Linked DNA regions of Elephas maximus indicus. The protein of the gene in region 1 interacts with the protein of each later gene in a biochemical or structural test. Links are inferred from orthologs where the notes say so. Each region holds a gene or a part of one and is shown on either strand. Other genes may lie near its edges.

Region 1 (7,148 bases):
CAAAACTAATAATGCATATAAATATATATAGAGAGATTTATATTAAGGAAACAGCTCACACATTTGTAGGGGTTGGAATGTCCCAAGTCCTTGGATCAGGAGAGAGTCCTTTCCCAATTCACAGAGCTGCAGAAGCTGGTGAACCCAAGATGAACAGGTTGGAGAGCAGGGATCCCGCTCACAGGTTGTGACGGTCGATGAAACCACAAGGCCGGCAGGCAAGACTGTAAAGTTTCTCCTGAGTCACTTAGCTGCAGGGGCTGGTGAACCCAAGATAGGCAGGTCAGGGAACAGGACTCATGCTCGCAGGCTGGGAAGACTGGTGAATCCCAAGATGAACAGGTAAGCTCCTAGCTGAAGTCCCAAGAGCCGCAACAGCCAGAGCGCAGACAAGAGACAGCTGCTGGATCCAGAACAAGCCAACAAGTTTTGCAAGGCAAGCAGGAAGGAAGTAGGTGCCAGAAGGCAGTGACATGAAGGCTGAGGGGGCGGTGAGCTGCCACAGGCCCACCCCTGCCAGTACCACTCAGCAGATTCCATCATGGGGGTGATCACATATCAAATTTCAACAGGAAAGTGATCACAACGTTGTACAACTGCCAAAATAATGAGAATCATGGCCCAGCCAAGTTGATACACAATCTTAATCATTACAAGTATTCTTTAAAGAGATAGAAAAACTATTCATTAACTTCATATGGAAAGGAAAGAAGCCTGGGATAAGTAAAGCACTACGGAAGAAGAAAAACAAAATAGGAGGCATAGCACTACCTGACCTCAGAACCTAGTATACAGCTATGGTAGTCGAAATAGCCTGGTACTAGTACAACAGCAGGCACATTGACCCATGGAACAGATTGAGAACCCAGATGTAAATCCATCTACCTACAGCCACCTGATCTTTGACAAAGGCCCAAAGTCCATTAAATCGGGAAAAGATAGTCTTCTTAACAAACAGTGCTGGCAAAATTGGGCATCCATCTAAAAAAAAATGAAACGGGATGCATACCTCACACCATAAAAATTCAAAATGGATCAAAGGCCTAAATATAAAACCAAAACTTTATAAATATCATGGAAGAAAAAATGCTGTCAACGCTTAACCAAAAAACCAAACCCGTTGCCATCAAGTGAATTCCGATTCATAGCGAATGTATAGGACAGAGTAGAACTGTCCCATAGGGTTTCCAAGAAGCTGCGGGTAGATTCAAACTGGCAATCTTTTGGTTAGCACCAGATCTCTTATCCACTGTGCCACCAGGTTTTCCAGTCAACACTAGAGGCCCTAATATACAGCATAAACAGGATACAAACCATAATTAACAATACACAAATACCAGAAGATATGCTAGATAAATCGGATCTTCTAACAATCAAACACTTATGCTCATCAAAAGATTTCACCAAAAGAATTAAAAGAGAACCTACAAACTGAGAAAAAAATTTTGATTATGACATATCTGACAAAGGTCTAATCTCTAAAATTGATAGGAAAATACAACACCTCTACAATAAAAAGACAAACCAATTTAAAAAATGGGTAAAAGATATGAATAGACACTTCACCAAAGAAGACATTTGGGCAGCTAACAGACACACATAAGGAAATACTCGAGATCCCTCACTAGCCATTAAAGAAATGCAAATCAAAACCACAATGAGATACCATCTCACCCTGACATTACTGGCACTAATCAAAAGAGAAAATAACAAATATCGGAGAGGTTGCGGGGAGATTAAAACTCTTACTCATTGCTAATGCCCATGCAAAATGATACAACCATTTTGGAAAATGATGTGGCGCTTCCTTAAAAAGCTGAAAATAGAAATACCATCTTATCCACTCCTAGGAATCTATCCTAGAGAAATAAGAGCCATCACACAAATAGACATATGCACACCTATGTTCACTGCAGCATTATTCACAATAGCAGAAAGATGGAAACAGCCTAATGCCCATCAACAACGAATGGATAAACAAACTGTGGTACACAGACACAATGCAATACTATGCAATGATAAAAACAATGATGCATCTGGGAAACATCTCACAACATAGATAAATCTGGAAGGCATTATGCTGAGTGAAATAATCACGAAAGGACAAATATTGTATGAGACAACTATTATAAAATCATATGAAAATGTTTCCACACAGAAAGAAACAATCTTTGATGGTTACAAGGGTGGAGGGGGGGAGGAAAAACACTAACTAGATAGTAGATAAGTTGTAACTTTGGTGAAGGGTAAGACAGTTGACAATACTGGGGAAGTCAGCACAACTTGACCAGGGCAAAGTCATAGAAGCTTCACAGATACATCCAAACACCATGAGGGACAGAGCTACTGAGCTGAGAGCTGGGGACCATGGCCTCGGGAGACATCTAGCTTAATTGGCATAACATAGTCTGTAAAGAAACTGTTCTACGTTCTATTTTGGTGATTAATGCCTGAGGTCTTATAAGCCTTTGAGCAGCCATCTAACATACATCTACTGATCCCATTCTGGCTGGAGCAAAGAGGAATGAAGAAAACCAAAGGTACAAGGGAAAGATTTGCCCAAGGACTAATGGACCACAACTACCACCCCCTCCACAAAACTGAGCCCAGAACAACTAGATGGTGCCTGGTTACCACCGACTGCTCAGGCAGGGATCACAAAAGAGGGATCCAGACAAAAAGGGAGAAAAATATAGAACAAAATTCAAATTCACACACACACAAGGAAAAAAAACAAAAACAAAAACCAGACTTGCTGGTCTGACAGAGACTGGAGAAACCTGAGAGTATGGTCCCTGGACACTCTTTTAATTCAGTACTAAATTCACTCCTGAGGTTTACCTTTCAGCCAAAGATTAGACACGACTATGGGGCCAACAATAGCACACATGAGGAATGTGCTTCATAGTTTAATCATGTATAGGAGACTAATGGGCATATCAGCCTAGAAGCAAAGATGAAAACAGAAGCAAAGATGAAACAGAGAAACCAAGGAGGACAAGGGGAGTGGTGACACATTGTGTGGTTGGCAACCAATGTCACAAAGCAATTTGTATATTAACTGTTTAATGAGAAACTAATTTGCTCTGTAGAGTTTCATCTAAAGTACATTTTAAAAAAGTATACAAAAACTGGCAAATCTATTTCATGCTTTTAGAGATCAGGGTAGTGATCTTCCTTGTGTGCTGGGACTGGGGAGTGGGGTTGTTGAAGGGACTACCATGGGTTTTCTGGGAAGTCTAATGTTCAGTTTCTTGACCTGGGCACTGGTTGCCCTTGGTTGCTATTCACCTTCTCCATATTCAGCAAATCGTATGCTTACATTGTGTTCATCTCTCTTTATGTATATTTCAATAAATAGTTTTTAAAATGAGCATCATTATTTCTTGATTTTTCGTTACTAAATTCATTTATGCTAAATGAGAGTGAGCCAGTTGCTTCACCCACTTAGTGTGGTCGAGTTGATTTTGACTCATAGTGGCCTTCTAGGACAGAGTAGAACTGCCCTGTAGGGTTTCCAAAGCTGTAAATCTTTACAGAGGCCACTGCCGCATCTTTCTCCTCTGGTGGCTGGTGGGTCCAAACTGCCGACCTCTTGGTTAGCAGCTGAGCACTTTAGCCACTGTGATACCAGGGCTCCTTGACTGCCTCACACACATGTATAAAGAGCCTTTAGAAGACTAGCTTTTCATGAATTATGGAAAAAGCAGGCCCCAAAAGATCAGCCAGCACTGCATTCTTGGCAAAGCTTATTCAAGTTGCCTGGGTCTTGATTGCAAAAGTATTACCTAACATGAAGTTCTGTAAATGATTTTCAAAAGAGTTTTTGTTCTGAGCTTTACACACAACGAAGTTTGAATATTTGCAGAATTTATGAAATGCACAAGACATCACCAGCTACTTCTTTGTGCATTCCAAGAACCTGAGCATGTTCCAACGGAGAACACAACTAGGTTTATAATAAACCAAAGAACAGGTCACAGTGTTCATGGTGGGAGTGCAGTGAGAATTGGCTCATACTCTGGCGCTCCTGGGGCCTGTGGTTGATTATTTTGTCTCACTTTGCAGAAGTTTCTGATGGGCGGAGCATCTAGTAATCCCTTTAATTTCTAAACTGTGTTTCAATTTCCTTTGGAGCCAGTACTTGCCTGCACTGATCACAATTTTTAGCAGAGGAGAATCTGATACAGTGTGAGCAGTGTCAGGTATCAAATGTTCCACTAAAAAGTCCCAGAATGAGATTTCCGGTAAAGATTGTTTGGCTTACGTTATGGACTGTTTGTATAGCAGAAGGTAAGTTTAAAAGAGACTTCTATAACTAACAAATGATTTGCTAATGGATTTTCATGGTGATAATTAAAAAAAAAATTATTATTTTGTAGCTTAATGTGAGTGGCTTTTGAAATTAAGTTTAATATAATTAGCTTATTTTAATAGCATAACTGTTTACTTAATCATAATTTTATTTAATGTAAAATTTAAGAAAATGTTTTAATGAACCTTTTTTATTTTATATCATTTTATTTATTTTGTTGTTGAGAATATACACAGCAACTCAACAGTCTCTACATGTACCATTTAGTGACATTGATTACATTTTTCGAGTTGTGCAACCATTAGGGAACATTTTTGAAAACTCTAATCTGTCATAATCATTTTTCTTGCCAACTGTTGTAAGATATAATTTAGTTTTTTGCTTAGAATTTTTACCAAAATACTTTATGTAGAAATATTAAAAGTTGAGATAGATTATAGATAGATAAACAGGGAGGCAGATAGGTAGGTAGATAGAACCAGAATATAAACTATTCAATAAAAGCCTTCAAATCCTGTATGACTGGATTCTTTCCTCAGACGTAGATGTTAACTCTGCCTAAAGATGAATTCATTTATCATTTACAATTGATATTGCTGCAGCCTGAAAAATCTTATAAACGATCATTGTTTGCGTCTTTAGACTGAAAATATTAATGGAAATCTGAAAAACAACTGAATACACAATCTGAATTGTTCAGAAGTTTTTTTTTTGTGGTTGTGTATGACATATTTATATGACATATTCTAGGAAAGTATCTTCTGGACTAATGAATATGAGTGCAGGAGTTTTTCTGATAGTAGTTAGACAATTTCTGGATTCACAGTGAAATTTAATTTGTTACTGTTTCATGACAGATTAAAAATATCCCTTTTACAGGACATTTGCCCTCACAGTTAGTAATAGGTAAACTCACTACAGGCAACATTGTTCAAATTGCAGGACAGAGTTTAAAATAACAGTTTCTCAGTTTTACCACATCGTTTCTGCTTTGTGGAATATTTCATGAACCAAAATTTTCAAGTTGATCTTTCAGATTTAGGGTTTAAAAATTGTATACTATTTAAAATTAGACCACACCCCAGAAATTTCGGGATGATTAAAGTGAACAAATTACAACTATGCTGAAATATGTCCAAGTACACACTGACTGTTGTTTTGGGGAACAATATGTTTGCTAATCCTGGAGGTTTAAAGGGCAGAAATGTTCTGTCAGACCCTTAAATACATGACGGAGTAAAGATAGAAAGACTCCATTCAAATCAGAGAATTCTTTTTTTTATATTATATTTTTTCAGGTAAACTGTGGCTTCAAATTGGCATTAAATCTGATATGAAAAAAGAATTGACATGAATATTATAAGAATTAATTATAAATTAATAAAAAATACTCTTTATAAGGCTATAAGTGAATATTATTTATTAATGTCTACGGTGGTGCGCAATTTTAATACGGAGCCCTGGTGGTGCGCAATGGTTAAGAGCTAGGCTGTTAGCCAAAAGGTTAGCAGTTCAAATCCACCAGCCGCTCCTTGTAAACCCTATGGAGCAGTTCTGATCTGTCCTATAGTGTCGCTACAAGTCGGAATTGACTCGATGGCAATAGGTATTGTCTAATACTGAAAAATTGTGGTAGTGATTTATAATCCCAAATTCTATTTGAATTCCAATGCAATGAATCCACCCCCCCAAAAAATATTTTCAAAGTTAGTGTAGTTAGCATAGGTGCCTACCCGCCCAGTGTGATTTAAAATTGTGCATTGGCTCAGTTTTTACCAGTATCTTCTCTCCCCCCTTTAAAATACGTTATATTTTATTACCATACATTCAACCAATCTGAAATTTACATGGAATAGCAAATACTCTGAGAAAGTACAATAGGATAATTAAGTCTGATATTATTCCCCATAATCTACCTCAAATTACTGTAATCTGGTAACATTCCTGCAACAATTTTAGTGGAGGGAAGAATAAAAATGGATGAGGAAGAAGGTAAAAAGAATAGGAGGAAGTGACTCTGGAAGATGAGGTATTTCCAGGTAAAAGAGATCTGAATGAACTGCACAGTAAGCCCATGAGAAGGGGTCAAGAAAATGCCCACAAAAATGGCAAAACAGGGAAAAGTGGGCTAAGGCAATCCTTGCCTATTTGAAGTTTAGGCATACCCTGGTAATGCCTGTGTTACTCTTTTGCTTATATAGAATTTTCAACTAAAACTAACTTAGGTATTGAAAAGTAAAATTTTTTTTGGCTAGAAATAAGTTCCCAAATAAAGTTCAAGGGCAGATCACTAAAGATTCTTGTTTTTTGGCCTTTTGTTGCTAGGTCATGCACCAAAGTCTAAGTTGACCCATTACTATTTGCTCAGTTCTGGACTGTTCTGTAGACTTTGCCACTTCTCTTTCTTCCAGCAATGCTTCCTCCTCCCTCCCCCACACTATTTCCAGCGTGCCTGGGCCTTTGAGATTCTGCCAACCAATATTCTGTTTTTAGTTACAAATATGCACTTTACCTATTTCTTAACAACTTTAATAAGTCTCAGAACATAAGGCATGTAAAGGGCATATTGTAATTGAGAAAAAGTGTCACATTTTAGCTTAAAATTATAAAGAGAAATTAGTAAAAAAATAAAAAGTCTCAGGGAAAGTAAGGTAACTGAGCAGGGAAAAAAAAACACAAAAATCATAGAATGATTTGACATAGCACTTCTATTCGTTTTGACATTTTAACTGAGAGAGCCAAGTTTCTCATAAACCTTGCTAACCAAACATGTAATAGATAGAAAAGTGATTATAGAGATGTTCCTTCCGACAATTCCGGAAGTTTTTTGAGC
Region 2 (7,228 bases), on another chromosome or scaffold:
GTGTTAACATGTTACTGGGCTCTGAAAATAAGTTAGCTTTCTCTCTTTTTTCAATTCTTTGAAAAAGTTTATATAAGACAGGGATTATTTTTTCTTGACAGTTTTCTAACATCCAATTATTCTTATTTCCTTTGTAGGATACATTTACACACTACCTGGATACTTTTCAGATTCTTCTCCTTGTCATAGTGGTCAAGCTCCTTCTCATTGTTTGGGCATGGATCTTTTTTACATACCCTGTGTGTTAGTTACTCTGTGCCCATTTCAATCTGATCACTTTTGTCCTCCACTCTGGGAAGTATTCTATTATTCCTTTGATTATTTTCTTATCTCCAGTTTCAAAGTTTTCTTCCCCTGAAATTTCTGTTTTGAGTCTCAAAGTTTTGATCCCCAAGCTTTTTGTCTTTTGTCTATGCTTTATGTTTTGAGTATGTTAATTATATTTCTCAGTAAAAACTTCTCTTTTTGCCTGAAGTTCTATTTCCTAAGATAGGTGTCCACCATCCATCTGTCAGTTTGTCATACTCTGGTGGCTTGTATGTTTCTATGAAGCTGGAAGCTATACTACCCTGTATTTAAAATACCATCAGGATCACCCATGGTGGACAGGTTTCAGTGGAGCTTTCAGACTAAGAAAGACTAGGAAGATAGGCCTGGAAATCTACTTCTGAAAAGTAGCTGATGAAAATCCTATGGATTACAACAGACTATTGTCTGATATAATGCCAGAAGATGAATTTCCTAGATTGGAAGGTACTCAAAATATATAGTGGCTGCGACAAAGGACTCAAGCATGCCCATGATTGGCAAGATGGTGCAGGACAGAGCAACGTCCTGTTCTCTTGTTGCCATGAGTTGAAGCCAAGTTGGCAGCAACTAACAGCAACATGGTAGGTGTTCCTCTGCTTGTTGAGTGTGGTGCCCTCTTTTCATGGCATTGATTCTTTCAGACAGTCTATAGAAGCTGTTGCTATTTTCTGTAGTCCATTTCCAGGAATTATGAGGAATAGGCAGCATGTCTTATGGAGTCTACCAGTAATTTGTCTTCTGGATGTCAGAGTTTAAGGTTTCCTCCAGGGTGTCACCAGCCTTCTGGGACTGTGCCCTGCCTCTGGGGCCAAAGCACTCTGTCCTCCAGCCTGAAGACAAAGGTCTTTGCAGCTTGACACTTGGCCAGGAGGGCAAGGGATGGTGGCCGCTACTCCTCAACCAATCTGTCCCCTGCTTTGTTTTCTACTGCTTGATTCCACTGCCTATTATTTTGGAGCACCCTCAAAACACTTCAAATTTTTATAGCAGCCTTTCTGGCATATGTTTTCCTCTATCCATCTGATTTATCTGCGTTCTGTCTTTCAGAGATTCCCTCAAGCTTCTTTCTCCTCATGAAATTCTTCCCCCTTTTTTTTTTTCTGGCACTGTATCGACTTACTCTTTAAAAATATGTTCTCTGTCATTTTTAGGAACTGAGATAGGTAGAAGATACTGGTGCTTGTGCTCAGTTCACCATTGATTATATTTAGCCTCTGTACTTTCTCCATCATTCCTTCTGTCATCCCTTCATCTATTCACCCCACAGTACTTACTGAATACCAACTCTGTGCCAGGCTCTGTACAGGCTGCCTTTCAAGAAGGTAATGCTACTGCCCATAAATGACAGTGTCTTAGTCATCTAGAGCTGCTGTAACAGAAATGCCACAAGTGGATGGCTTTAACAGAGAGAAGTTTATTTTCTCACATTCTAGTAGTTTACACGTCCAAATTCAGGGCCTTGGCTCCAGGGGAAGGCTTTCTCTCTCTATTGGCTCTGGAGGAAGGTTCTTGTCCTCAATCTTCCCCTGGTCGAGGAGCTTCTCAGGCACAGGGACCCCGTGTCCGAAGAAAGCTCTCTGCTCCTGGTGCTGCTTTCTTGGTGGTATGAGATCCCCCTTTTCTCTGCTCGCTTCTTTCTTTTATATCTCAAGAGATTGCCTCAAGACACAATCCAATCTTGTAGGTTGAGTCCTGCCTCACTAACACAACTGCCACCCATCCTCCCCCATTAACATCATAGAGGCAGGAATATCACACGATACCGGGAATCATGGTCCAGCCAAATTGATACACACATTTTTGGGGGAACATAATTCAATCCATGACAAATAAGATCTGGATTTATCTTTTTTTTTTTCATAACAGAGATGGTGCTGCTGAATTTGCATCCATCTACACAAGCAATTTTTCTTGACCTCGGACTCATCTTTCTTAGGATGATTGTTTAGGGCTGTGGTGGTTGGCTACCAAGTAAGTCAAACTAACTGGCCCATGTAGTAATGATCGAACCCTCTTGGCCTCATTCACACAATGTTTGAATTAAGAAAGCTAGCTAGATATCTTTGGCCACTACTCTCTGTAGCTCCATGTTTGATCGGTGTTCTATCCATTTTATTACTGACATGATTCTCAATCTGCTTCTCTGCATTCTCGTTCTTTCCACTCTACAGTTTTGATGTAACTTCTTACATTAAAGTCTTATGTTAAAGACTTAGTTTTGACTAGTCTTTAGCATAACTTTTCTACTTAGCTAGCTTAGTGCTTGTCACTAGTAAATGCTCATAAAATGTGCCCAGGTTGAATTAATGAATTATGACACATTAAGTTGTCTCCCTATTTATAATTTCCGAAACTCTAATACATCCTTCCCACTGCAACCAATTCTAAAAAAATTCTAAGACAGAGATCTATTATTTCCTTGTTCAAAAAGTCCTCAAAGCTTCTTACCTGCTTAATGTGAAAGACCTTGGGCCCACGTTTTCTAGAGATGATTTTATTAAGTAGTTTGTGTGAATAGTGGCAACAGAGACATAAAATAATGCTTCGTAAGTACAACTGTAACTATTGTGCTGGTAAAGCAGAACAGCAATTCTAATAGTGATTAGGAAAGAGGAAATGCCCAGTAGAAGTTACACTAATAAATCAATTAAGATAGAGAGCAGGAAAACAAACAAAAAACCAAATTGATACAATCTTTAGAGTAAGGATGTCTCAGAATTTTGTCTTGCAAACCAATACATTTTGAGGACTGGAAAGATATTGATTCATAAAATAGACTATCATGGATATAGAGGTTCAAGGAAGCTTTTTTTGAGTTTTTGTATGAAACTGCAGAAATTGAAACGTGGTAGTGGTCATTGCTCATATTATCATCTTGAATATTTCACTTCCGTTTTTGTGGCTAAGCTTAATCTCATGCTTATCTGGTGAGGGGAAAGGAGGGGACTCCTGTGGTGAGGATGCCAACGGATGTATTATTTCAGGGGCAAGAAATGACTAATCTAGGGACACAATGCTATGGATTTAAAAAAAAAAAATTAGGACTTTACAAATGAAGGTATTTTTATTAGTCAAAACTCATTCAAATATAAATGTCATAAAAACAACTGAAATGTGTAAAAATGTGTAAGCAGGGGATTTATTGGCTCATAGACTTCAGAAGGCCTGATGTGGGGTCAGGTGAGACTGGATTCAGAGTTTCAAGCAATGTCATTGAGGTTGTGTCTCTCTCAGCTTGCCTAGGGAATCAGGGGTGGAGAAAGGTGGGACAGAGAGCCACTTCTTTTAGGCTTGAGACTTTATAATTATTTTACTCTTTAAACTATGTGAAAGTATTCAAGAGGAAGTTATGAAGTGTCAAATGTTGCTGAGAAGTTGAGTAAGATGAGGACTGAAAATTGGTTATTAAATTTACAGGAGAGAGGTTTTGTTTATGTTGGTTTTCTGGAATGGTGGAGGTGAAAGCATGGTTTGCATAGATAGGAGAGAACAGGAGATGAGGAAATGGAGGGGGTATACAACCCTTCCCAGGAGTTTTGAAGTAAAGAAGAGCAGAAAAAGCAGAGAGTAGCTAGAGGGAATGTGGAATCTTGGGCTTCTTTCTTTCCTTCCTATGAAATATTAAATATATTAAAGCATAGTTATTGTTTTTGGGGATGATCCAGTAGAAATGAAGACATTAATGATGCAGAAGTGAGAGAGTATCAAAATCCCTTGACCAGTTGAGAGGGACTGGGATCCACTGCAGAAGTGCAAGCATTGGCCTTAGATATGTGTAGGGATAGTTCATCCCTTGTAAGAGGGGGGATGCAGAATATGTGAGTAAAGATGAAGAAAGGCTGGTGATGATTTGGTGGTGGGAGGATGTATAAGGATATTGGTTAGGCTGCTATAACAGAAAGACTAAATTAACAGTGATCTAACAAGAGAGAAAATTCCTCCTTTAAGAAAATGTTCAGGTAGGCAGTTTAGGTAGGCTGATACAAAAAAAAAAAAAAAAAAGCTCCATATTCAGTCATTCAAGCGCCATCCCTCTTCTTGCTCTGCCAATATCAACTTGTAGCTTGCATCTCGTGGTTTAAATGTGGCTGTTCCAGCTCCTGCTATTATTTTTGAATACTAGCCAAAAGAAAGGAGAGATGTGAAAGGGAAATCGCATGTCTTCTTTTTAAAGGGCACAACCTGGAAATTATTGCTATTATTCCTGATCATGTCTCATTGGCCAGAACTTAATCACATGGTCACCCCTTTTTGCAGGGGAGTCTGGGAAATGTAGTGTTTGGCTGGGTGGCCATGTGTCCAGCTAAAAATTCTGTTCTCACTGTATGAGAAGTGGAGAATAGATATTGGGGAACTGCCAGAAACCTCTTCCACAAGGGATGCAATGGTCGTTTTCTGGTTGCTTCTAATTTCTCAATGAAGAGGTGATTTCATCAGCTGAGAACAAAGATGGATGTGGTTTTAGGGGCTTAAGGAGAGAAGAGAAGGAGCAAAATAGTCATTCTGGAGAATCAATTCAGGAGGGAACTGTAGTAAGATTGCCAGGTAATATAGAGGACTACTCGAGTTTTACGGTCATATATTTAGAGAGAGACCAGTCCGCTCCCAGCACTGATAGTCCAGTTATTCATACCTCCTTGAAGCTTTGTATATTCAGAAAATAGTCTGTTTGAAGAACCTCTGATGCGTGGTACATTTGTGACCAGGTGCATATTTCACTACACCAGAAAGTTCTTAATAAGTAAACTCAGTTGGCTAAGAAAAATTTATCCTTGGCTCAGTGAATGGTATCATTGTTTTCCTCATTTCCCAATCTGTAAACAAGCAGCTTCTGAAAGGGCTTAGTGATGACATCTGTCTCTAGCAGCTGTCAGCATTTCTCCATCACACTCTATGACTTGGGCTGAAGTAGGCACTGGAGATAACCACTATCGTGTGCACACAGATGGCCACTTCTCTATGAAGTTAAGATTTTCCATTATTTTCTCAGGATAGATAGCCAAATTGGAGTCCTTGGGGAGCTCCCTCATTTTTCCTCCCACTAAGAACTGGCGACTCAGGAGTCACTGGGTTTGTAATCAGTTACACACATATTGATTTCTCTGTTCTGTAATGATTATGAATCCTTTCTTCTCAGAACCCTGACACCTGACGTCAAGAGGCAGTGATGGAAAATAATTTGCATAGTGGCACAGACTTCCCCTGCAGGCATGGGTATAAATCCAGGCAGGATGGGGCAGGTCTTGAAGAAGTGGATCTAGTCTTTGAGCTTTCACCCAAAGACACCTTCTGAAGGAGGTGAGCCCAGATCCTATGACATCAGCAGCAGGGAATGATCATGGAGGAGCTGTGGTAGTGTTTCCTGGTATTGATCAGCCTCTTTAATGTTTCTGGCCAGACAGGGAATATCCAAGACTATGCCTGAGATTTGATATGGGGGCGGTGATGGGACCCAGAATTGTACAAAAAGAAGTCAAAGGAATATTTAGCATGGGTGCGTGTGTGTGTATGTGTGTGCGTGTGCATGTGTGTGTACCTGAAGAAGGGGCGAGTCTATTTCTCAGTCCCAAACATTATATGCATGTTTTTTCTGTCTCACAGACATGCATAAGAAGGCCTTTGTGTTCCCCAAAGAGTCAGCCGATTCCTACGTGTCTCTGAAAGCACAGCTGAAGAAGCCACTAAAAGCGTTTACCCTGTGCTTCCACGTCTACTCCGAACTGAATCTGACCTGTGGCTATGGCATTTTCTCTTATGCCATTCAGAAACAGGCTAATGAGATCCTCATATTTGGGTCTAAGAGTAGAGGATATATTGTTGGAGTGGGTGGGACTGAGGTATTATTCCGTGTCCCAGAAACCACTGCTGCTCCAGCACACATCTGTACAAGCTGGGAGTCAGCCTCAGGGATTGTTGAGTTCTGGCTAGATGGGAAGCCCATGGTGAGAAAGAGCCTGAGGAAGGGATACACTGTGGGATCAGAGGTGATTATCATCGTGGGGCAGGATCAGGATTCCTTTGGTGGCGACTTTGATATAAACCAGTCTTTGGTGGGAGACCTTGGCAGTGTGAACATGTGGGACTGCGTGTTGTCACCAGAAGAGATTAACACTGTTTATTTAGGTGGGACCGTCATTCCTAATGTCCTAAACTGGCGGGAGCTGAACTCTGAGATCCATGGGGAAGTGTTCATCAAGCCCGAGCTGTGGTCCTGAGACCCTGCTGTGGGTCCTGAAGGTGCCTCTTCCTGGCACTTATGCCTGACAGGCTCCATGTCTCTGGCTCTGGAGCTGTCTCCCCTCCCCCCACTATATACACTGTAGGTCCCTGAGTGGTGCAAGCAGTTTGCAGTTGACTACTAGCCTAAAGGTTGACAGTTCAAACCCAGCTAGCAGTGCCATGGAAGAAAGGCCTGATGATCTGCTTTCATAAAGATTACAGCCAAGAAAACCCTATAGAGCAGTTGTACTCTGTAACTCAAGGGGTCTTCATGAGTCAGGATCTGCTCAGCGGCAGTTTTTTTTTTTTTTTTTAATGCACAGTGCAGGCCTGCTCTGTGCATATAGCCCTTTGCTTCCCTGCCTTGCCTTCCTTGGCAACAGAGAATGGAAGTAAGCTCGGGGGCTGGCGAGCTACATTGTGAAGTTTCTTTCTCAAAAAAATAAAAAGAAAGGAAAAAGAAAAAAAACAAAAACCCATTGCGGTTGAGTCGATTCCAACTCATAGCGATCCTATAGGACAAAGTAGAAGTGCCCCTTAGGATTTGCAAAGCTGTAATCTTTACGGAAGCGGATCGTCATATCTTTCTCTTGCATACAGCTGCTGGTGGGTTTGAACTGCCAAACTTTCGTTAGCAGCTGGATGCTTAACCACTGTGCCACCAGGACTCCTTTTCTTTGTCCAGAGAGCTCAGAATTCT

The links.
Region 2: the proteins of CFH (region 1) and C-reactive protein-like form a complex in vitro, tested with the Homo sapiens proteins (12 studies listed by BioGRID and IntAct, with this or other methods). The link is inferred for Elephas maximus indicus from reciprocal best matches to the Homo sapiens genes CFH and CRP.

The regions. Positions count from the first base shown.
Region 1 is NC_064842.1:63,160,568-63,167,715, forward strand, and holds the start of CFH (complement factor H), read left to right. Parts: upstream 1-3,986; 5' UTR 3,987-4,235; coding exon 4,236-4,293; intron 4,294-7,148. UniProt on the Homo sapiens protein: Glycoprotein that plays an essential role in maintaining a well-balanced immune response by modulating complement activation.
Region 2 is NC_064821.1:198,293,285-198,300,512, reverse strand, and holds C-reactive protein-like, read left to right. Parts: upstream 1-5,072; 5' UTR 5,073-5,912; coding exon 5,913-6,524; 3' UTR 6,525-6,686; downstream 6,687-7,228. UniProt on the Homo sapiens protein: Displays several functions associated with host defense: it promotes agglutination, bacterial capsular swelling, phagocytosis and complement fixation through its calcium-dependent binding to phosphorylcholine.